Linked DNA regions of Alligator mississippiensis. The protein of the gene in region 2 purifies or fractionates together with the protein of the main gene of each other region. This does not show direct contact. Links are inferred from orthologs where the notes say so. Each region holds a gene or a part of one and is shown on either strand. Other genes may lie near its edges. The genes, in order: SPAG9, RCCD1 and KDM8.

Evidence for each region.
Region 1: the proteins of RCCD1 (region 2) and SPAG9 purify together in Homo sapiens (affinity purification with mass spectrometry; 3 studies listed by BioGRID and IntAct, counting the BioPlex papers as one, with this or other methods). This does not show direct contact. The link is inferred for Alligator mississippiensis from reciprocal best matches to the Homo sapiens genes RCCD1 and SPAG9.
Region 3: the proteins of RCCD1 (region 2) and KDM8 purify together in Homo sapiens (co-immunoprecipitation; 3 studies listed by BioGRID and IntAct, counting the BioPlex papers as one, with this or other methods). This does not show direct contact. The link is inferred for Alligator mississippiensis from reciprocal best matches to the Homo sapiens genes RCCD1 and KDM8.

What each region holds. Positions count from the first base shown.
Region 1 is NC_081831.1:10,431,669-10,439,371, forward strand, and holds the start of SPAG9 (C-Jun-amino-terminal kinase-interacting protein 4), read left to right. Parts: upstream 1-4,676; 5' UTR 4,677-4,793; coding exon 4,794-5,099; intron 5,100-7,703. UniProt on the Homo sapiens protein: The JNK-interacting protein (JIP) group of scaffold proteins selectively mediates JNK signaling by aggregating specific components of the MAPK cascade to form a functional JNK signaling module.
Region 2 is NC_081834.1:798,606-806,262, forward strand, and holds the start of RCCD1 (RCC1 domain-containing protein 1), read left to right. Parts: upstream 1-4,577; 5' UTR 4,578-4,660; coding exon 4,661-4,820; intron 4,821-4,935; coding exon 4,936-5,299; intron 5,300-5,370; coding exon 5,371-5,690; intron 5,691-5,831; coding exon of another isoform or gene 5,832-5,923; exon of another isoform or gene 5,924-6,021; intron 6,022-7,657. Other genes in the region: UNC45A (protein unc-45 homolog A), read left to right, coding at 3,937-4,092, 4,201-4,464. UniProt on the Homo sapiens protein: Plays a role in transcriptional repression of satellite repeats, possibly by regulating H3K36 methylation levels in centromeric regions together with KDM8.
Region 3 is NC_081836.1:59,275,221-59,282,698, forward strand, and holds the start of KDM8 (bifunctional peptidase and arginyl-hydroxylase JMJD5), read left to right. Parts: upstream 1-4,393; 5' UTR 4,394-4,417; coding exon 4,418-4,906; intron 4,907-5,043; coding exon 5,044-5,210; intron 5,211-6,301; coding exon 6,302-6,434; intron 6,435-7,478. UniProt on the Homo sapiens protein: Bifunctional enzyme that acts both as an endopeptidase and 2-oxoglutarate-dependent monooxygenase.

The DNA.
Region 1 (7,703 bases), on a different chromosome or scaffold from region 2:
CTTTTAAGTACCTGTTTTGATAGTCACAACTAAGGGATAAGTGCATCCAGCTCCATGACCCTGCAAGTTTGTAAAATCAGACATGCACCAATGGAGAATTTCTGCTTTAGGAGGACAGCTTAAATATGACGAGTCATTTTATTAAAGCCCCGTCAGTTAAATTATAAATGGCTCCTGTGGGTGTTATATCCCATAAACTAAAATAGTTTCTACCTGCAGACAAATGATACTCCGAAGGGTATGAAAGCATTTAGTGCTTTCAAGAATGATCCAAAAAGCAGAATGTGGACTTGTGACACAATTACTATGGAGTAACTGATGCTGGATTTTCCGGTGTGGTAAGGAACAGACTCAGGTTCGTTTCTCCGAAGCAAGCTGCCAGTAGTAGGTGCTATTAGAGCACCTGCCCACGAGGTGGTGAAGGGAGTCAGTTTGCATTAAACAAACAGCTACACCGGGGGAAATGACTGGGAAAAATTTATACTTTATACAGTTACTTATTTTCTGAGGGTAACTAAGTGGAGTGACTCCTGTACCTGTAAATTTACTCTATAGTAATTTAGTCTGTAGTAAGTGACTCATGAGTCTACATCCTACATGATTTGCTGTCAGTGCCTGTCACTAGTTACTTATTGATCAATACAAATGAGATTCAGAGACATCAGTACCAGCAGGAAAGACATTTAAACAGCACATATTGGTCTCTGATCTTCTTGAAGCAGCGACCTTCCCTCAAGAAGTGTATGGAAAATAACTAGCATATTGTGGTTGCGCTTATAATCAATCGATCAAAATCAAACCAATCAATCATCATCTCTACATCATTAAGTTCTCTGGGTATATTTAAAAACTATCTGCATACCGTTTTTCTGTAGTTTTGAGGCATTACAGACATTTGGTTCGCAGGATCAAGTCTTTGGTCAGGGGCTTTTCTCCCCCATGTAAGTCCAGAAAAGTCATTGTTCCACGCAGCTCAGTAATAAATGTTGATTCGATTCTTGATTTTTAGCTTCTGAGTTGTTTTTAACTGAATCTCATCTTCAGCCATAGCGATGGGTCAGGATTCCTGTGCACATCACGGAAAAGGCAGAATAGAGATGGAAACTATCTTTATTTTGTATTAAATTGGTAAACATTTAACAGTCATATGAAAAAAACTGTCCTCCAGAGATACTTCATCATCACAATGTTACTTTTATTTTCAGTCTGCCTCTTAACAGAATCCATATGTCTTTTCAATTAGGAAAGCCCTTACAAACCTTTAGCAAGTTATAATATGCCAGCAAGCTCTTAATGGGAAATGAGAGGATAAAAGAAGGATTTGTGGGATGCGCAATAAATGTACAGAACATACAGCTGAAGTGTGAAGGAGATGTCTCTGCTATACAACAGTGAACTGTTGATTGAGTCCAGCGTGTTTGTATACCACCTGAGATTTTTCAAGACAGACCTAACCCAAAGCCATGAATATGGACACCTGAAAAATATTTAGGAAATTGCAGATATGGACCCTAAATTCGTGGCTCTGGTCCCAAGTTTATCATGGTATGAGCTAAAACCCTATATATCTGTAACCCCAGGCAAGGGTAAAATTGCTGTCTGGTTCCAAGCTTCATAACTTAGTTTATATTTCTCTTTATAATTAGACTGAGAGAGCTGTGATGTGTAGCTGCACCAGCTTTGCATGTTGATGATTTGGTTATCATGACCACACCCTCTCATCTAGGGTGTATTTGATTTCTACTCAAATAATCTCCTCTGGGTAATGTCCCAGTTAAAATTTCATCCTAAACTCATTTGAGGCCTAATTTCCTTCTGCAGTATTTTTTTTTAAATCTATTTAATTTTCAAACAAACTGTCATTTCTAGGGATAGAGAAAATTTTGTATCTCACTACCTGGCAAACTCTCATTTTATCCGGTATTAATTCCTAAGGGCATGAATTGTACTTTTTCCTTTATTGGACACCACCTAGCATCTCAGAGTAACAGACAGGGCGCCTCCTACTCCTTAATGCTTAATTAGTTAACTAGGGGCACATCTACACATGCGCATTTAGTGCACAGTATAGCTATGTGTCTACATGTGCACGCCTGTACTGCACAGTAAATATGGTGACTTATGCTGACTTGAGCATAAATTTGATACCTGCATCATGCAGGTATCAAATTTACCCCCAGTTACTGCACAGTAATGCACATGTAGATGCCTTACTACGTAGTAACAGTGTGTGTGGATGGACTTGGGACTAATTTTAGTCCCAAGTCAGTCCACACACACAGTTACTAGACGTGCCCCTAGTAGTTTACTGCATAGTAAATTTAAGTCAGCGTAAATGCACGTGTAGACATGGCCTAGGGTGATCATTTATAAAAATTCCTTAATGTCTTAGCAAGCAACAAGGCTATGCATCCCTGTGGGTGGAAACATCTTTTTCTGTTTCTAATGATCAGCTTCCTGGCCACAACCAATTCAAAGGTACATATGACAAAATAGGAGCAGAGTGACAGGCCAGTAGGCAGGATATGATGAGCACCTACATAAATCCCCTTGCAACACATGCTTTCAGATTACAGTTTTTCTAAATGTGCTGATCCACGTAAGGAAACATCATCGGACTGGAAATAATACAGTCAGCAGACCATAGCCTATTAAAGCCATCCCCCTAGCTTGTAGGTTCCTGGGGAACCTCTGGCTGGATTGGAGTCCTAGTGGACTACCACAGCAATACGAAAGAAAGCCTCTCTGTTCTGTTTCTACTAACACTGCTGATGTAGAACAGATGGTCCTCAGAGAGCCCCCTCCTTTGATGGCTTTCAGCAAAGCACTGTGACCCATTTTTGCTGTCTGGCAATACATATGTGTCTGGAACTTCTGCATTTGCATTATTTGATGAAAATAATTGTCAATAAAATCCTACTTAGAGAAACTCAAACTTATCAACCTTTTCACCTTAGAGCCATCTCAGTTTGCTTACAATAATTCCTTTGTGAAAAAGGAAACGCTTCTTCTATATAAGGTTGCAAGGATGGAGTTAAAACCCCACCTCAGTCAGAAAGGTGCCTCTTCAAGACTGTCTGGATGATGGCATAATGGAGCCACTTTGCCGTCAGTGATATCCCTGCAAGGTTTAGTGAAGCCGTGTAGAAAATCCATGAGAAGTGGGTGTCACCACTGGTTTGAACAGCTGTGCAATGAGTAAAACGGTCACTTGAAGGATGAGAGAAATCCTGGAAGTCAGCTCCTCTCAACAGTCCCTTGCCAAGGAAATAGCAAAGGCAGAGAAACATAAGAAAGCTGCAGGTGATCTCTCCAGGGACAAAGACTAAAGAAAGACCATGTCTGATATGTATTCAAGGGTGTGATCCAACAGCTTAACTGAAAGTTTCATGTATGAAAAACATGCCAAATCAGACCTAAAATGGGATTACAACTGAAAATGTCATCTTGTTTTCCTCAGTTTGGGCTAGTAAACAGGTCAGCTGTGTGCCCCTGTACTTCCTAATTAACTCTCAGGCTCCTTTTTGGCTGGCCATACTTGTTTACGGTACTGGTTTAAGGAACATAACTCTTCTACATCTTCAAAACACTTGGCCACATTCTTTTCAATCTTGCACCTCCTCTAGTTTCCCTCTCTGCAGTCCCACCAGCTCGGTGGATTTAAACAAACGATGCAGACACATTTTAAGTTCAGTAACTGCCTCTGGATCAGGCCAAACAAAGGAAAGCGTAACGTAAGCTTCTGCTGCTCTCCAGTGGAAAATAACACAATTGCCGGTGGTAGATTGTCACTGCTCCATTCATTTGCCTTTTTAAACAGATTCTTCCCTAATCCCACGCTGGCAGGCAAGGTTCTTTGGGTAGATGTGATATCTTTTATTAGACCAACTGAGTAGTTGGGAAACAGTTCTCAGCAAGCTTTCGGGCACCATCACCCACTCTTGCACAAGATAACTGCATCACAGAGAAGTAGGACTGGAAGGGACTTCCTGAGGTCATCTATCCAAACCATCCCATACAAACCATCATCTATTCTAACCTCTCCATAAGAGGACCGTCAACCCTGACGGCACAGACCTAACCCCCTAAGCTGCCACACATGCAGCAGGGACATCGCAGCAGCCAGCGTCCTGCTTCTATGAAATGTTGTCCGTATACGCCCAGGAGATCCCGGGACTGGGCCAGTCCCATCCCTTTGTTACACCTCAGGAAGAAGCCGGGCTTTTTGTGCTCAGAGGCTGGCCAAGCCCCATGGGCGCAGCACGGGTCTGGGAGCCGTGAGCCCTTAAATCTAGTCCCAGGTCTGGCCGGTGACTCCGTTCGTCCCAAGCAAGGTTCCTGCGCCTCCTGTGAATGCTCCACGTGTCATCAGGAGGCGGCAGCAGCAGCGCAGGGCACGAGCCGTCCCTGCCCCGCGCCCCCAGCGCAGCCACCGGGCCAGGGCAGGGGGGCGGGGCCCGCAGGGCTCGGTGGCGTCACAATCGCCCGCGGTGTCCCAGGATTCCACGACGCGTCTCCCGCCCCGAGACATTCGCAAGAGCACCCCCGGCTCGCCCACCGACCCCGCCTCCTCCCCGGCTAAGCCCCGCCCCAGTGACGTCACGGCCCGCGCCCCTCCGCCCGTGACGCCACTGCCCCGCGCCCCGCCCTGGTGAGGTCAGTGCCGTGCGCCGCCGCCTCGCGCCCGGCCCCGCCCGCGCGGTAGGCGAGGCCCCGCCGCAGAGGGAGCAGGAGCTGCCGCCCGTCCCGTCCCGTCCCGTCCCGTCCCGCCGGAGCGAGGCAGCGCCGCGGCCATGGAGCTGGCGGACGGCGTGGTGTACCAGGAGGAGCCGGGCGGCCCGGGCCCCGCCATGATGTCGGAGCGGGTGTCGGGGCTGGCGGGCTCCATCTACCGCGAGTTCGAGCGCCTCATCGGGCGCTACGACGAGGAGGTGGTGGCCGAGCTGATGCCGCTCGTGGTGGCCGTGCTGGAGAACCTGGACTCGGTGTGCGCGCACAGCCAGGAGACCAGCGTGGAGCTGGAGCTCCTGCGCGACGACAACGAGCAGCTCCTCACGCAGTACGAGCGCGAGAAGGCGCTGCGCAAGCAGGCCGAGGAGGTGCGTGAGCCGCCCGCCCGCCCCGCCCCGCCTGCCTGCCTGCCTGCCTGCCCTGGGGCGGGGGACCGGCCCCCTCAGTCTCCCCTTCCTTGCCCCCCGCATTACCCCTCCCTTCCTTACCCCTCCCTTCATTATCCCCCCTCATTACCCCTTCCTTCATTGCCCCCCTCATTACCCCTCCCTTCATTGCCCCCCTCACTATTCCTCCTTTCATTGCCCTGCTCACTATCCCTCCATTCATTGCCCCCCTCATTACTCCTCCCTTCATTGCCCCCCTCATTATCCCCCCTCATTACCCCTCCCTTCATTTCCCCCCTCATTACCCCTCCCTTCATTTCCCCCCTCATTACCCCTCCCTTCATTGCCCCCCTCATTACTCCTCCCTTCATTGCCCCCCTCATTACTCCTCCCTTCATTGCCCCCCTCATTACTCCTCCCTTCATTGCCCCCCTCATTACCCCTCCCTTCATTGCCCCCCTCACTATCCCTCCCTTCATTGCCCCGCTCATTGTGCCCCCCCTTTATTGCCTCCCCAGGCAGTTTCCCTTGCAGCACCCTCTGGCAGCCCTGTGGCCTCCGCTGCCTCCCCTCCGGGTGCCCAAGCCACCCGGCCTCCTCCTAGCACTGGCAGAGAAGCCCCATGGCCCTTCCCGGTCCTTTCCCTCTTTCTCTTCCTGTGACTTTCGAGGTCGGCTCCCCTCGCCCCTCTCCTCGTCCTGGCTCCTCCACCCCACAGCTGGTTTCCTTCTCACTTAGCGATGCTGCTGGCAGGGCAGACCAGGGAGCCAGGCATTAAGGACTTCCCCAGCGCCCGCTTCCCCCTTCGGCAAATGCATGGAGGTTGAGGAGCTTGGGGGGACTTGGGGCTGTTACTTGTGAGTGGCCGGGGCGGCCGGCCTGGGACGTGGCGCTGCGTTGTGGCCTGGACAGAAGCAGCAAGGGTTTGTCCCTGTGGAAAGCTCAAGGGCCAGGGAATGGGACGCTTCAGCTGAGCAACAGGTAATGCAGGTTGCTCAAGACTGGTACTTGGCTGATGACAGTAAGCCGCCCGTGTGGGCGTTACAAGGTCATTCATTCAAATTCACATAGTCTTGGAGGGAGGAAAACAGGAAAGCTGCCCTTGCATCAGAACATCATCATTTTGTATTCTTACACTATCATTTGGGGCTTTAAATTTCTTTCTCCCAGGACACTGACTATGCCCATCTTTTTCCCTGAAGATTTTAGTCGAGTTTGCGTGTCCAAATCCATAAGAAGACTAATAGTCTCAGTGGAGATTCAGTGGCCAAATCTCCGAATCCAAATCGAATCGGAAGACCCTTTAATCGATTCAGAGAGATTTGGAAAGATTCGACAATTCAGCCATAGGCATAGCTTTAAATGTTTTTTTCCTACATACCTCGAGATACCAGGCGGGTCGTGAGTGCTGCGATGCTGGGGCGGGCAGAGTGTCTTGTAAGAGCGCAGGGGACTCCCCAGTGCGTTTGGCAGCAGACGTGGAAGTGAACCAGAAGCACTTCTGGGCCTGTCAGGGAGCATGCAGGGGGGCCCCCCCTGCGTCCTCCTCCAGCTCAATAACTAGTGCCTCCTGGGTCTGGGGGGCACACCTGGGGTCCCCCCAAACCCGATCACCAAGCTGTGGGGGGGGCCCCTGTGCACTCAGTACTTCCAGTCCGCTTCTGGGTTCGTTGCTGAGCATGCAGGGGTGCCTCCCCATGCTCCTGTGCGGGACGCTCCATCTGCCCCAGCATTGCAACGCTCACGAGTCAGGCCTGGTACCTCAAAGTATGTACAAAAAACATTTAAAGCTGCGTCTGTGGCTGAATCGCTGACTCCAAATCAGCATTGAATCTTTGGGTTTGGCCGAATCGAATCAGGGACAGCAGTCTGAATCAAGAAATTGAATCACTGTCCCCGATTCGGGTTGAATTTGAATTGAATACGGCCAGCTTTGCACACCCCTACAAAATATGATGCTATTAGTTGTATCAGTGCTCTTGGACTCTTGAGAAGTTGCAGATCTGTAGGTATTTCTGCAACTCTTGTGGTAACTTAATTGCTTCACGATCTATTTCTACCGATTTATTAACTGGACTAGATTTGCTGCCTAGTTGCTTCAGCAGAACTTGTTAGGAGTCTCAGAAACTATAACTAGCTTAGGGAATGGACATAACTTCTTTCCACCAATGTAATTTACAGCTGTTTGATACGTAGATATATGGCATACCCCGTTTAAAGTTATAGCCTGTCAACGGAGCTCCTTAAATATTGAATTCTGTCCTTGCTGTATCAGCACCCCTGAACCTGACTAAATACTGTCATTTTCAAGTCTTCTAATATCAGCCCCTTGATGGTTGCTTTCCCATTGTTGTGTCTGGTGCTAATTATGCAGTTAAACAGAGTATAATTACATCACCGAGTAGGTAGTTTTGTCTGAAAGGTTCTTTATGCTTCACTAGTGTAAGTACTTGGATGATATGCAGATAGCACAATGTCAAGCTCATGTTTTTCTTAAGCTAACCAGTAAAATGAATTTTACACTGATCCAGTATGCACAGAAGTGGAGTACACTGTTAAATGTACTGGGCTGCAGAGCAGTCTGAC
Region 2 (7,657 bases):
TTCGTATAAGGGCACGAGGGTGATCTCCATTTCGCTTACATTTCCCTTCTTTACAATGCCCAGCTTGTCACTGCTGCCCACTGAGCTGACATGTTGAAAGAGCTCTACAGTGACTCCAAGGTCTCCTTCCCGAGTCACTAGAGTTAGTTCAGGACCTCAGGCCGCGTACGTGGAGTTGAGGTTATTTTCCCTGCGTGCATTATATTGCACTTGTCGATGCTGAAGTTCATCTGCCGTCCTGTTGCCCGCTCGCTCAGCTCAGGGAGGTCTTTCTGCTCCTCTCCGTGAGCCTGGCCCTTGGCTACCCAGGATAATATGGTGCCATCTGCAAGCGTGGGGATTTTCCTGTGTACCCATTCACAGATCTTTACTGAACGTGCTGAACTCAATCAGGCCCAGTGCAGATCCCCCCCTTTTTGACCTCTTGATGTGAGACCTGCAGGAGGTTTTGTGTGGAGTCCCACGGTCTGTCCTGGGCCTAGCGCTGTTCAGCAGGCCTAGCAGTGATTTGGGTGCTGGAATAGAGAGCTTCCCAGGCAGGTCTGCAGGTGACCCCAAACCAGCACGTGCTGGGGACAGACGCGGCCTCCAGCAGGATCCCCACAGAGTGAGGCTGGGCTGGAGCCAGCGGGGTGAAGTGCAAGGCTGACAAATGCAGGGTGCTGCAGCTCGGCAAGAAGAAAGAAAAGCACAGACACGGATGGGAGGTGCGTGGTGCGGCGGAGAAGGATCCTGGGGTCACAGAATCACAGGAAAATCAGGCTAGAAGCACCTGCAGGTCGCCAGTCATGGCAGGATCATCCCAAAAAGTCCTTGTCTAACCTGGGGGTGACCAGCTGTGCTACAAGTGGCACTGGCAGTCTCTGTGCGCAGTGCATGGGAGATGGACGGGACAGGCAGCAGATGGTGTAAGGGAGCAGAAAGCAGAGCATCGGATTGGGCAAGGAGCTGATGGTAGAGCAGCAGATCAGGCTGGGAACACGGCAGGGAGCAGGAAGTGGAGCAGCAGATCGGGCAGGGGAGAGGTTCGGAGTGGCACTCGGGGTGGGGGCAAGACTTCCTTTGTGGTCCCCCCACCAGGAAACCTGGCCTGTTCCTAAAGCTCCACCAACGGGCCCGTGCCACGCAGCTCCCAGGCCCGTTGTCCCGACACCAAAAGCACCGTGACCTGTGACAGGTGAAGCGGGAGTGCTGGGAGCACCCTGCTGCTGCAAGGGGTGTCAAAATGTGCTCAAGAGACTCAAGGAAGAGGCCGTGCCCCTGCTACGGAGGAAGGCAAAACCCCACATCCGTCCCTCTGACCACGAGGCTGGGTGCTGCAAGTTCATGCCGTGGCTGCGCGTCCCGCTCCCTGCGGCGATGGGGGAAAGGTGCTCTCCTGGCCTCTGGCAGCCCTCGGGGGCATGCGGGCCACTGTCCTGTCCCTTCACAAACCGTCTTTCCTGCACGCTGACCGTACTTAGTTGGTTCTCTCAACCTCTCCCAAAAACGAGGAGCCCCGAGCTGCTGGCAGTCCTCTAGATGTGTGCTGGGCACGGAGACGGCGTCGCCTCCCGTGTCCTGTTGATGCAGCCTGGAACCACGTTCGGCGTTCTGCTGCTGTGCCGCGTTGCAGGTTCACGTGGAGTCTGACCCGCCGGGAGGATGTGAAAGTGATGGGAAGCTTGGGAGGAAGCAGACACGAGGGGAAGTCACGATCCCAAGACAGGGAAGCGGGAAGTCAGCAGGACTGACGTGTAAGGTTGCCAAAAGGCGGATTTCACCCAGCTCCAGGAGTCCGTGGGCAGGTGCCAGGGGGCGACCCACGGAGGAATTGGCCCAGGCGGGCTGGGCGATAACAGAAGAGATGGTCAGAGCTTCTGATGATGGGAGACGGGCCATGTAACCGAGGACTGGAAAAGGGCCAACGTAGCGTCCCTCTAAACAAGGGAGAAAGGACCCGGGGACCTACAGACCGGGTAGCCTCAGCTCTGTCCTGGGAAGTTACTGGAGCAGATCCTAAGGAAGACCATGTGCAAGCGCCTGGAGGAGGAAGCTGATCGCAGGCAGCCAGCAGGGATTATGAAACACATCATGGGAAGCCCGATCTCCTTCTTTGGCAAAGTGCGTGCTTGGCTGGACGAGGGGAATGCTGCGGGTGTTGTATCTGGACGGCAGCAAGGCTTGTGCCGAGGCCCCGCGTGATCTCCCTTCTCATAAACAAATTGGAGACGTGTGGGCTGGATAAACTACCACAAGGTGGGGGGAAACCTGGCTCAATAGCCCAAGCAAAGGGTAATTATTAACGGGTCCGCGTCACAATGGCAGGAGGTTTCGAGTGGAGTCCCACAGGGTCTGTCTTGGGTGCTGGCAGAGGAAGCTTCTTGAGCAAGTTTGCAGATGACAAAACAGAAGGATTGTGAACAGCCTGGAGGATGTGAGCACAGCTCAGAGGGATCTCGACAGACGGGAAAGCCGGGCTGGAGCAACAGGACGAAGCTCAGCGCGGACAAATGCAAGGTGCTGCGCACAGGAGAAATAATCCAAAACACCGATACAAACGGGGGGACGTCCGGCCAGATGGCAGCTCTGTGGAAAAGGACCTGGGGGTCCCAGTAGAGCACGGACTTGACGGGGTTGGCAGGGTGGTGCAGCCGCACACAAGGCGGATGCAGTTTTGGGCTGTGCCAATAGACGCGTGAGGCACAAGACGAGGTGATGGTCAGGAATCTGCGTGCAGCTCCGGGCCCTGCGTTTGGAGGCAGTTTCTAGAGGCAGCAACACGTGATCAAGGCTTGGAAAGCAGTCGCGTGCGGAGAGGCTGAAGGAGCTGGGCGTGTTCAGCTTGCAGAAAAGGCACTTCGGAGGCCGTGGCAGCAGCGTGCAGACACGTGCAGGGCTGCCCTGAACGGGAGGAAGAACCGCTGGGTTTTCCTGTTGCAGCAGGGAGCAGTGCATGGGCCAACGGCTTGACGCTGCAGCAAAGGAGGTTTGGATTGAAGCCCAGGAACGGTTGTTCGCTGTCAGAGCGGGGAGGCCGCGGGAGAGACACCCAGGGAGGCTGCAGACTCTCTGCTGGGGGTGTCGAGGAGAGGCTGGGCAACCGCCGGGCAGGCATGACGAGGCGTAGCGATGCCTGGAGCGAGCTGTGAAGAGCGGCACGCACCCAGGCGGCTGGATCAGACCTCAGCGTGGAGGAGCGGGTGGAGGCTGGAGGGACCGTGCTCAGCAGCAGCCGAGCAAAGCAGAGCCCCACACCGGGCCTGGGCAGGAACGATGGAAGCAGCTGGGCCAGGCCGGGGGCGACGCCTGGGGCTGCAGCGTTGACATTAGGAAGAACTTCTTCCCAGTTCGAGTGGCCAAGGTCTGGAACGGGCTCCCAAGGGAGGTGGTGCTCTCCCCTACCCTGGGGGTCTTCAAGAGGAGGTTAGATGAGTATCCAGCTGGGGTCATCTAGACCCAGCACTCTTTCCTGCCTGTGCAGGGGGTCGGACTTGATGATCTATTGAGGTCCCTTCCGACCCTGACATCTATGAATGCCCCTCTGGGCTCCCGGCTGTGCTGCCCCATGGGGCCGCGCGGGGCTTTTCCCACTCCTGGTGCTGCGCGGTCCAGGGGTGTGGTGCCTTCCCGAACTTCGGTGCTGGGGCTGGGCGTGGGGACGGGCTCGGCCAGCGCTCCTGCTGGGGCCGAAGCCCGCGGGCCCGGCGAGGAGCTCACCCCCGCACTCGGGCTCAGGGCGACGCTGCGGTCGGGGCAGGAAGGCAGATCGGCACCGACGGGGTTCCCGTCCGGGGCCGCAGGAGACGCGGCTCTGCCGGGGTCTCGGGCCTGCGTCTGAGCCGCTGCCCCTGCCCCGCGGCGGCCGGGCGCTGCCTTCGCCCCGGGCCGGTCGGTCGGTGGGTGGGTGGTGCGGGGCGGTGCGGGGCCGGGGTGACGGCGGTGCTCGCGCTGCAGGTGCAGGACCTGTTCCTGGCCGAGGGCAGCGACCGGCTGAAGCTGCTGGTGCTCTACAGCGGCGAGGACGACGAGAAGCTGCGGCGGGCGGCGGCGGGCGCGCTGGCCATGCTCACCTCGGTGCAGCCCCAGGTCTGCCGCAGGATCCCGCAAGTGGTGAGCGGGGCGGGGGGGCCGGGCGGGGCGGGGCGGGGGGGGGGCAGGGAGCAGGCCGGCGTGCCCGCCCCCCCGGCCCGCCCAGCACGCGCTGCGCTGTCCCCGCAGACGGAGCACTGGCTGGAGGTGCTGCAGGCCTTGCTGCTGAGCGACAGCGCCGAGCTGCAGCACCGCGGCGCCGTGGTGGCGCGGAACATGGTGGCGGCCGACCGCGACGTGGCGGCGCGGCTGGTGGCGAGCGAGGCGCTGGAGATCCTGGCCGTGCTGGCCGAGCAGCACGAGGACAAGCCGCGCGTGGCCCGCGCCGCGCAGGACAGCCTGGCGCGCGCCGTGGCCTACGGCCTCATCCAGCCCCACCCGCAGCGCCCCTGAGCCGCGCCCGCCGCGCCCACGCGGGGGCGCCACCGCGCACGGGAGGCGGGGCGATGCCGCTGCGCCAATACAGCACTTTGCACCCAGCGCGGCCTCCGTCTCTTCCTGCGGGTTGCCGTGGCAGCGCGGGGTGGGGCGGGGCGGGAGGCCGGAAGTCCCGCCCACCGGGCTCCGCGCGCGCCGATTGGCCGGGGCGATGGCGGCGCCGGGCGCCTGGTTCGTCTTCGGCTTCGAGGGCGCGGACGAGCCCCCGCGCGGCCCCGACACCGGCACGGCCGCCCCGCGCGCGCTCCCGCTCCCCCCCGGCGGCGTGCGCGCGCTGCGGCCCGGCTGGGACTGCGTCGTGATCGTCACCGGTGAGCGTGCCCCGGTGCCTCCCCCTCCCCCCTTCCTCGGGCTGGGGCTGCGCCGTGATCGTCCCCGGTGAGCGTGCCCCGGCCCTGACCCCCCCCCCCCCCGCCCCCCCTCCAGGCTCGGGCGCGGCGGTGCTGCGGGGGGGCGCGGGGGCGGCGCTGCCGGGCGGCTGCCGGGACGCGGTGCCGGGGGAGGGCCACGTGCTGCTGGTGCTGGAGGCGGCGCTGGAGGCGCGCTCGTGGGCGGCGCTGCGCGGGGCCGGGGCCGGGGCGGAGGAGCGCGCCCCCGCCTGGCGCCGCCCGCTGCCGCCGGCCGCGCCCGCCCCGGCGCTGCCGCTCGTGCCCGGGGGCTTCGCGGCGCCGCGCGCCCCCTTCTTCTGGCCGCTGCCCGCGCGCCTGCGCGCCCGGCGCCTGGCGCTGGGGCTGGAGCACGCGCTGCTGCTGGGCGCCGCCGGCCTCGTCTACACCTGGGGCAGCAGCCGGTGAGTGCGGGGCTGGTGGACCGGGGTCGGGCCGGGGCCGGGCCCGCGGGTCTGACGGCCGCGTCCCGCAGGCACGGGCAGCTGGGCCACGGCGGGCTGCAGGCGGAGCAGGAGCCGCGCGTGCTGGAGGCGCTGCAGGGGCTGCCCGTGGCCGACGTGGCGGCGGGCGGGTGGCACTCGGCCTGCGTGAGCGGTAGGTACGGGCCCTCCCCGGCGCGGGGGCAGCCGCGGCCGCAGCCACACGGCCGCCCTCTCGCTGTCCCGGCAGACGCGGGCGACCTGTACGTGTGGGGCTGGAACGCGTCCGGGCAGCTGGCGCTGCCGTGCAAGGCTCTGGCGAGGGAGCGCCGCGCCGCGGCCGACGGGCCCCCTGGTGCGGGGGCGGCTGCAGGTGAGGACCCCGCGGGGACGGCGCTGCGGGGCTGAGCGCAGGGCGGGAGGCATCGGCGCGGGGCAAAGCCCCAGCCCCAGCCCGAGGCAGGGTCCGGCTGTAGGAAAGGCAGGACTGCGGCAGCCGACGTCCTGCTTCTAGGAGCGTCCCCGGTGCGCGCGGGACCCGCTGGGCCGAGCCCGCGCCCTTGCTGCAGACAAAGGCAAGCGCTGCCCCAGGGTCGGCTACAGTAACATTCACTCCTGACCCCACGTACGGCCACCGGCCTGCCCCCGGGCGCAGGGGCAAGGCCCTCCCGCCTGCACCCTCCGGCGTTCGTCCCAGCAGCAGAATCGGCGCGCCCCGTTGCTGTCCCTCGCCTTGGCTGTAGCCAGCACCCGGTGCCTCCGGGGAGGCAGACGATAAGTAAGGGGCGCAGATGGAACAAGCACAAACCAGAGGGAGACCCAAGCGGAGAACAGGCATCGCCAGGCCTGCCCGGCTCGCTCCTGCCCCCTGGCCGCCCAGCCTCTTCTTGAACACCTCCAGGGATGGAGCCCGCCCCTGCCTGGGCATCCCCCACAACCTCCCTGCTCTGACGGGGGCGAAGCGTTTCCAGGCATCCAAACTAAATTTATTTTGTTGCACCTTCAAGCCACGGGTCGGCACCTGCGGCAGGAGAGCAAAGGGGCTTTCCCTGTCCTTCAGGGCAGCTCTGCACGGACTGCTCTTGACCACACGTTAGTGTCTTTCGCACACGGTGAACGTGCCCAGCTCCCTCAGCCTCTCCTAGGATTTGCTTTCCAAGCCCTCGATCATCTCTGCTGCTGCCTCTGGACCCTCAGGAGGCCAACACTGTGTACCTTGACTTCCAAAAGGGCTGTGATCTGGTTTCCTACCCCGTTCTCGTGAAAAACTTGGAGAACTGTGGGCTTAACTGTGAGACAGGCGGGTGGGTCGGGAGCTGGCTGTGGGGTAGGAACAGATCTGTGTCGTCTTGGCAAGAAGAGGGCAGAAGCGTCCCGCAGGGGTCGGTGCTTGGTCCAGTGCTTTTCAACATCTTTGTTAAGGATTTGGATGTGGGGGTGAAGAGCGCGCTGGCCAAGTTCATGGACAACACCAAGTTATGGGGAACACGGTCCCACTTGAAGATAGGTTATAGATCCAGGCGGACCTAGACAGGCTGGCAGATTGGGCAGACTGGAACCTGCTGAAGTACAGCGCTGAGAAACGTGAAGTGCTCACCTGGTGATGAGCAACCCCCAACACACCTGCAGGCTTGACAGCACCAGCTGGCTAGCACCACGAATGAAAGGGACCTAGGGGTAATAATAGACCACGTATGACCATGAGCCGGCAGCGCGAGGCTGTAGCCAGCCGGGCAAAAGCACCATGGCAGGCATCAACCATTGCATCTCCAGCAAAACCAAGGTGATGCTTTTGCTCTGCTCAGCACTGGCGAGACCGCAGCTGGAGGACTGCGTCCAGTTCTGGGTGCTGCACGTCAGCAAGGACGTGGAAAAGCTTGAGAGAGTGCAGAGAAGAGGCACCCGTCTGAGCAGAGTTGTACACGGCGAGCCATCCGAGGAAAGCTGAGGGCCCTGGGACTCTTCAGCCTGAATAAGAGACGGCTGAGGGGGACTTGGTAGCAGCTTCCCGCTGTATGTGGGGAATATGTCAACAGCTGTTCACCAGGGTACATGGGGGAGAAACCAGGAGCAACGCTCACAAACTCCTGGAAGACTATTTTAGGCTCAGCATCAGGAAAAACTTCGTAGTGAGGGTGTCCAGACTGTGCGATAAGCTCCCTCCAGAGGGGTGCAGTCGCCTACCCTGGAAACATTCGAGAGACGGCGGGCACCTGCCCCGTTGTCTTTCCTGCCTGGTGCAGGGGGCTGGACCCGGTGATCTTCCGAGGTCCCTTCCAGCCTCCGTCTATGAATGGTGGAAAGGACGTGGAGGAGTTGAAAGGCAGAGACCAGACCTGC
Region 3 (7,478 bases), on a different chromosome or scaffold from region 2:
CAATTTATATCTGGGCATTTGATTGTTCAGTCCTAAGCACAGCACTTTGCCTTTGTTCTTATTGTACTTCACCTGATTTACACTGTGTTTTGAAAGAATACAGGTCTCTCCTTATTCAGTCCCTGATCAAAGACTTAATGAAAATCTGGAGTGAAAAAATATAAAATCAGTCTGAGTAAATTATGGTAATCTCCCTAGTAGCTGCTGAGGCCACAGGAAGAAAAGCAGCAAAGAAAACAACTCCAAAAACAAAAGAACAGCCCAAACAAGAGCTCCATCTCTGAGATGCTCTGAGGCGTCTCCGTCATCCCGCAGCGCCCACCATGCTGCCACCCCCGAGGAGTATCCTTACATAAAGGGTGCTAGCTGTGCCAGCGTGCTAGTCTCAAACCCCGTCAGCCCCTCTTCTCATCTGCTAAAAGCCGTATCGCGTGATGATTTTTAGCAGAAAGTTTTCTCAACACCTTCAGATTATGGGTCAGATTAAATCAGTGGAAAGGCTTGGCTCAGAACAAAATGGTACTAGGTGGAAACGTCTCAAAGAAAGTACACACGAGCAGATACCCCATATCAAGCCCTGCCTTGATACTTGTGCCTCTAAGCATGCAGTTTTGAACGTGCGATTCCTTCAGCAGACAAAGTGCTGTCTCCACTGCAGACTGTGCTTTGCTTAACATCACACATTACACACGGCTGCTATGCAAGCCCCCTTTCCCTTTAGCTGAGCAGGAGTTTGTCACTGTACAACACTGTGGTCAGCGCTGGGGCCTTTGCTACGGGTGGGAGAATACAGCTAACGCCCTGCATGAGTGTGACAATGGTTTTGCAAGCAAACTCCTAGGGACGAGGGTTAATCTGGTCAGTCAGCTGACAGATATGAGACTTCTATCGGTTTTCTGTGGTTAAATCCAGCTCAGCACACACCTCGTATTTGCAAAGCATTTTCTTTCAGTTGTTGCTGTAGCAGTTTCCGTGCTGAAATGGAGGTCAGCGGTGGTCTAGGGATGGAGTCCACCCGTCTTTTGCTCCAACAACAAGACAGGCTGCTGTCTTCCAAGAACAAATCCACCGTAGAAACCGTTCCCCTCAGATGGGTTTAATGACATTGCGGGAAATTGTCAGTTCCACCCCGCAATCTCTGCTGCAACCGCTCTCCTATTATTTACAGTACAAAGTGCTGGCTTGTTACCCCACATATTATTTTTTTAACAGAAAACATACCTTGTTCACTTAGCAAATATTTGGTTTTCCCAGTGGTGGTGTGTTATATGCTAGAATAGGTACCGTGGCGCGAGGGAGGTGGAGACGCGTGCAGCTGCAGCGTGGTTGTAACCCAGCTCCCCCAGGGACTGCCCCCGCGTACAGCCTGTCCAGCGGGTGCTGAGCACCCCGCAGGGACCATGGCAAAAGAGCGGTGTTTGCTGTGTTTTCTAACCTGTTTCATATATACTGAGAGAAAAGAAAGAGAGCTCATCGTGTGTTGAACTGAACGTTACGGTGAGTCCAAGGGAGCAAGGATGCCTGCAGGGCCTGGGACCGAGAGCGATTGGACAGCCGGGGCCAGCGGACCGTGCCGATGCTCTGACGCGATACAGAAGAGGAAAGTTCGTCAGGGACCTGACGCACTTCTCTCTCCTTTCCTGGCCTATCTCTAAGTCTTTCTGGGCGAGGTGCAGGCAGCCACTGGTACGTAAGGCCTAACGGTTTCCACATCCGATATACATTGCTTAGCTTCAGCTTTCCTGCAACAGCAGCAAACGGCCTTTGTTGCTAAATTATAGTTTTACGTTCAATGTCCTTTCGCAAAGCCTAAAACCCCCTTATATTGTGTTTGCACAGACTAATGGCCAATTTTGCAGCTTTCAGAAACAAGTTGCTCACACCAGTAATGTGGTTAAAAACAAATGGTTCTAGACAAAACCCATCATTAAAACTTCATCTTTTTCCCTAAAAATAAAACATGGAAATGAAAATAATCCTTAGTTAGCATTTTAAGCCATTTTAACTTGAATGTTAAATGTTAACAACCTGAACAAGTTGTTTTTCACACAAAATTGAAGCTTTCAAAAGTAATTTGTAAATGGCTATGTAACATTCCTAATGGACACAGGAAAAATTATGCTCCTAAATAATTCCACCTAGCTTTTTGTAAAGTTGTAAAGAAAAAATCCATTAGCCTCTCCATGGCTGGCGCAAATTGGCTAAGAGCCCTGGCTCTCCGACGTCCCACCACCACGTAATGCACGCTGGCAGCTGCGAATCCAAGATCCATACGGATAAATAATACATGTTTATTGTTCTGACTACAACAGGTTTAGTTCTCCACTCCTGTGCTGCAGTTGGCCATAAAATAGATGTTTGAAGATAATACGTTATAGAGCTACACCTCTCATTAGGAAATACTGTCAGGCAGGTGCAAGACAAACCCGTAATGACCTCAGTCCTAGCACACACCGTGCTCCTCCCGGGGTCAGGGGAGGCCAGGATTCGCTTGCATCAGGGCCAAACCCAGACGCTTCTCCTAAACATCGAGACGCCCATCAGGGCAGACCTGTATCGCACCCGTCTCTTCCCGCCCGAGAACCGGAACAGCTCGACCGGCATTTCTTAGCCCTGACCCCACTACTTCGTATTGCTCTCTCAAAACCCCTCCACGATGACGGTGACTGCCTCACAGCCATTAACGCCCCTGAACCCCGAGCAGTCAATCCGAGTAAAATGAGATAAGGCCTGAGTGGATTACACGCGGAAAAAACCCCAAAGCAACCAAGCAGAGATACTGGCAGGACAGATGTGAAGAAAAACTTGGGCAGCCACAGAAGGAGACGGCGTCTTTGGTAAAATGGTTTAAACAAATTCCCACAGGTGAAGGTGACAACGCAGGATGCTTCAATGGGAAAAGGGAGCTTTGAAGAGTCACAATCCCAGCAAAAATACGGATGGACGCAGGGTGCGCGGGGGGGCTCGGAAGCGCGACGCGGTTACATCAGCCAAGCTGCCTTTCCTGCCTGGTGCCGGGGCCTGGACACAACCGCCTCCCCAGGTCCCTCCCGGCCTACCAATCAATCTACGAAAACCATGTTTTCTGACACGCTTCGCATGTTCGCTCGTTTTGCCCGTCGTTTCTAAGAAGGCGCGAGCTGGGGAGGCGCCATCGAACGGCAGTACGAAAACGCAGCATGTTCAAAGCGAGAAGGAAGCGTCTTGTCAAACGCCCCCTCGTTGCCTTGTTAACTCGAACGCCGCTTTAGCAAAGTAACGGGAGATGTATTATTTTTAAAAACTCACTAAATATCTGAAAGGTAAAAACCCATGAAGCATAAACAACGCTGGGAGGTTATAAAATATAAATCTCGCCAGACAAGCGTGATTGCTTTTTCCCCCCTTGTAGTATTACAAAAATTAATGGATGAAAGGCTCACAGTTAAATGTAATATATTTGGACGTTAGCGAAGGATTCGAGACCTGCCTCATAAAATCTTAATAGAAAAACTAATTGGACTCAGCTTGCACATTGCGCAGAGGTGAGGACTCAAAACTGACAGAAGAAATATAAACAGAGAAGTAAACTGGGAACCACGCCGGTCGGGGCGGCTCTGGGGCATCTCTAGACGTGCCAGGTCCCGTCCGCAACGTCCCGCGGGCGACGGGAAGCGACCGGGCAGGAGCTGCAACGTGCGGCGCGGCCTTCGCCCAGGGAGAGATACAGGGAGCAACGGGACATGAGGCGTCGCAACAGTGCCCGCACTCGTCCGTCCAGGCCGCCTGTCCCGCATCAGGGGCAAGGGACAACCCCGGGGATGTCGGAAACCCTGGTGGGACCAAGTGCGCAACTTCCCTGAGGAGACGCACGTGGCACCGGGTTTTCGGCTTAGAGAGAGACTGAAGGAGGGAAGTGTTTGCAAAGGCCAAAGGGCGCAGGAGGCAAAGAGCAGGTCGGGCCCCGCGGCCCGGGCCGGAGCACCGCCAGGGACAGCCCCGCTCCCGCGGAGGCAGCACTGCGCGCTGAGCCCCGCTCCCGCCCGCGGCCCACATGAAGGGTCTGGTGCGAGGCACGCGGTGTGGTGTGGTGTGTGTGCGCACAGAAGCTCCCGCCACAGCCCCTTTCTGTAGCGCTAGATCGATATCGGTATCTCTCTATGCCTGCCTCTGTCTGTCTGTCTGTCTGTCTGTCTAGCTATTTATGTATTTCTATTTCTCTCTCTCGGTGCGTGCACGTGCACTTCACGCCGCTGGCGCGCCCGCCCCGACGTGCTCCCGCCCCGCTAATGACGCGCGCGCAGCAGAGGGCGGGCTTAAATGGGCGGCGGGAGGGGCGTGGCCAGGCGCGGGGGGCGTGGCGGCGCGGCGGCGCGGTACTTCCGGAAGGGGCGTGGCGGGCGGGAGTCTGGCGCTTCCGGGTTCCGGCGCACGTGGGATGGCGGGCGCGGAGGCGGCGGCGGCGGCGCTGTGGGGGGAGGCGCGGGCGGTGCTGCCGGGGGCGGAGGCGGACGTGGCGGCGGCGCTGGGGGCGCTGGAGGCGGAGGCGGGCCCGGTGCTGGCGCTGCTGCAGCGCGCGCGGGCGCTGGTGTACGAGGGCGGGGCGCCGCGGGCCGGGCCGCCGCGCGCGCGGGAGCTGGAGGCGCTGGGGCGCGCGGCCGGGGCGGCGGCGGACTACGCGTGGGAGCGGCTGCAGGCGCGCGCGTGGCGGGACGTGGAGCCGGGCTGGCGCCGCGCCTTCGCCCTCGCCTGCCTCTTCCGCGCGCTCGCGCTGCTGGGCCAGCCCGCCCGCGCCCTGCGCGCCTGCGACCGCGGCCTGCTGCTGGGCGCCGCCGTCCTCGACGGGGCCCTCGCCCGCCTCGCGCGCCTGCTGCAGCGCCGCCTGCCCCGCGCCCGCGCCCCCGCCCCGCCGCCGCCGCCCCCCAAGGTACCCGCCTGCCGGGCCGCCCGGGCAGAGAAACGTTAAATGTCTGCGCTGCTGGCAGGCCGCACGGGGCCCCCGGGCCGCGCTTGCCGGTGCCTGGTCGGTGCGCCGGGGGGTGCTGACCCGGGGTCTCGTTGCAGAGGATGCGGAGCGACGCCGGCGCGGCCCCGGAGCTGGCGTCGGAGCCTGCCGTCCCGCGGCTCCGCTGCCCGTCTCTGGAGCGTTTCAGGGAGAGCCATTTCATCCCGCAGAAGCCCGTGGTGTTGGAGGGGGTCGTTGACCACTGGCCGTGTATGAGGAAGTGGAGGTGAGCAAGTGGAGCTCGTCCTCCGTAGGTGCGCTTCGTGCCCCTGCCCCAGCTCGCCCGGCTCCCCGAGGAACGAGGTGCGGCACTGACTCCCGTGACGCGCGGGAAGTAACGTCTTCCCACGCCGCGTGCTGGGTTTCCCGTTGCTAACGGGACTCCAGCGTGACAGATGCAAGTTGCTAAACCGCATCCTAATAGCTCAGGCGTTGCTAATCGCAGGATGTAGAAGTCGGATGTTGGAGCACATTGTGCATCCAGGCCATCCCTGCAGGAGCCGGTGCAGGGAGTTTCCTGGTGCAAATGTTAGTGGTTTAGTGTTTAATTGTAAACGGGAGCTGCGTGTATAGCGCCCGGGACTCGGTGGGCGTATGGCTCAATTTTCTCAGCCACATCCATGACCGTTACTTATTTAGGTATTCTTGTGAACATGACTTACTAATATTTGACATGAATTTCAGTTTCAAAGCTGTATGTACAAGTAATATTAGAAACCACTTTTTTCATTCAAAAATGCAAATGTTGCAGCCACATTCAGTGAAACTTTCCCAGTTGTAAGGTAGAAGTAACACCGTGCAGCTCATCAGACCACTCACAACTAAACTTTCACATGTTGAGTGTTGCATCCGTGTAGCGAAATGTTCATGATGAATACACAGGGTAACACTTGCAAAACAAAAACCCCTCGGACTTGAGGAAACCATCTGGTTGCTGGTGTTTCATAAGTACAGGGAGAAGCCAGGTCCATTGACTAAACGGCTGCTCGTTGTTCAGACCAGCTCTTCTAAATTGGCAACACATTTTTCAAAAATGAATACAGCTTGTAGCATTTCGGTGCAGGTGCGTGCGCCCGCGTGGGCCCTTGCTGTCTGCATCCTTAGCCTTGCTGGGGGCACGGTGGCCTGCTGCTGGAATAGTCGGCATGTTCCCGTGTTCCTCCTAAGGGTTAAACTATCCAAGGTAGCTGCCTTGTGCGTTGAACACTAGCACTGCATAAACCCCCCTCAGAAACCTGATTTCCTATCTACATTTAAACTCGATAAAAACAAAGATGTTAAATGAAATCTAAATGTAATGAACCTGCTTTGTTCCAGTGTGGATTACCTCCGTGAAATTGCTGGGTGGCGCACAGTCCCCGTGGAGCTAGGTTTGCGATACACAGATGAAGAATGGTCTCAGGAACTCATGACTGTGGATGACTTCATCAGTCAGTATATTGTGAACAAGGTCTGTTGTTTCCACGTGGTTTTATCTCCACAAACGCGGCAGTGTCCTAATGGACTGAAGGATTTCTCCCTTGGTGGTCTGGCCAGAGCTTATTAGAACAGGTAGCTGCTCGTAGGGGGTCTTGAGCGAGCTTCGGGTTTATAAACAGGTCTATGGATTACTGTGCCAGTCACATTTTCAGGCTGGTTGCAGCCGTGACTGCTTGCTCCTTGTTCAGGCCTGAACGTGCAGCATCAGAAGGTTGGGGAGATTTTCCAAGAGCCAGACATAGCACCAGTCGCGTGCTGGGGAGTACTGTGCTACACATGCCCATTACTCTGCCTCTATGAGGGGTGGAGTGGGGCTGCCCACGGGGGGATTTACAGCTCGGGTGGTTTTGAACATTGCACAGAGTCGGTCAGGAGGCTCATGCGATGAATATTCATTGCAGTCTCTACAGTGGACCTGCTTTCTGTGTGTGCGTGCATTTGCATCTCTGCAACAGAGATGCTGGTGTGACTAGAAACCAAACTCTTCTCCTCACCACTGTTAGGGTTGTTATGAAAAAGATAGCCGTGCAGTTGTAGAGACCTCAGCTCTCCTGCGTAGCTCTGGTGCTGTTGCAGGCAAAATGGGGATGTTCTCCTATTGAAAGATCATTTGGATTTTTCTTTGCCCTAGCTAGCGTCTGTTTTTATGTGGCCTGACCCTGGAACAGCAGGGTCTTCTGCAGGTCAGGAGCATCAGGCCAACCCCATAGCCAGCAGTATTATTCCTCCGGTGGATGTGTGGGGCTTTATGAGTTCTAAGACTATAAGCTCCAATATTACTGCATGTCAGTCATGGGCAGTGAAGAAACGAGAGCTGACTGGTGACAGCAGTCTGTACTGTGGATGTCAGCTGAGACGCTTCCTGGTTCCTTCGCCTTCTTGTTGGAGGATCCTATTGAGGTATATTTGCATTGCAGACTGCACAGTGGTGTAGAGGCGCCCGAGCCTGCTGGCATGGGCGCAGGGTGCTGCCTGGCTGCAGGAGCAGAAAGTTGTGTGTGGGCAAACTTACCCG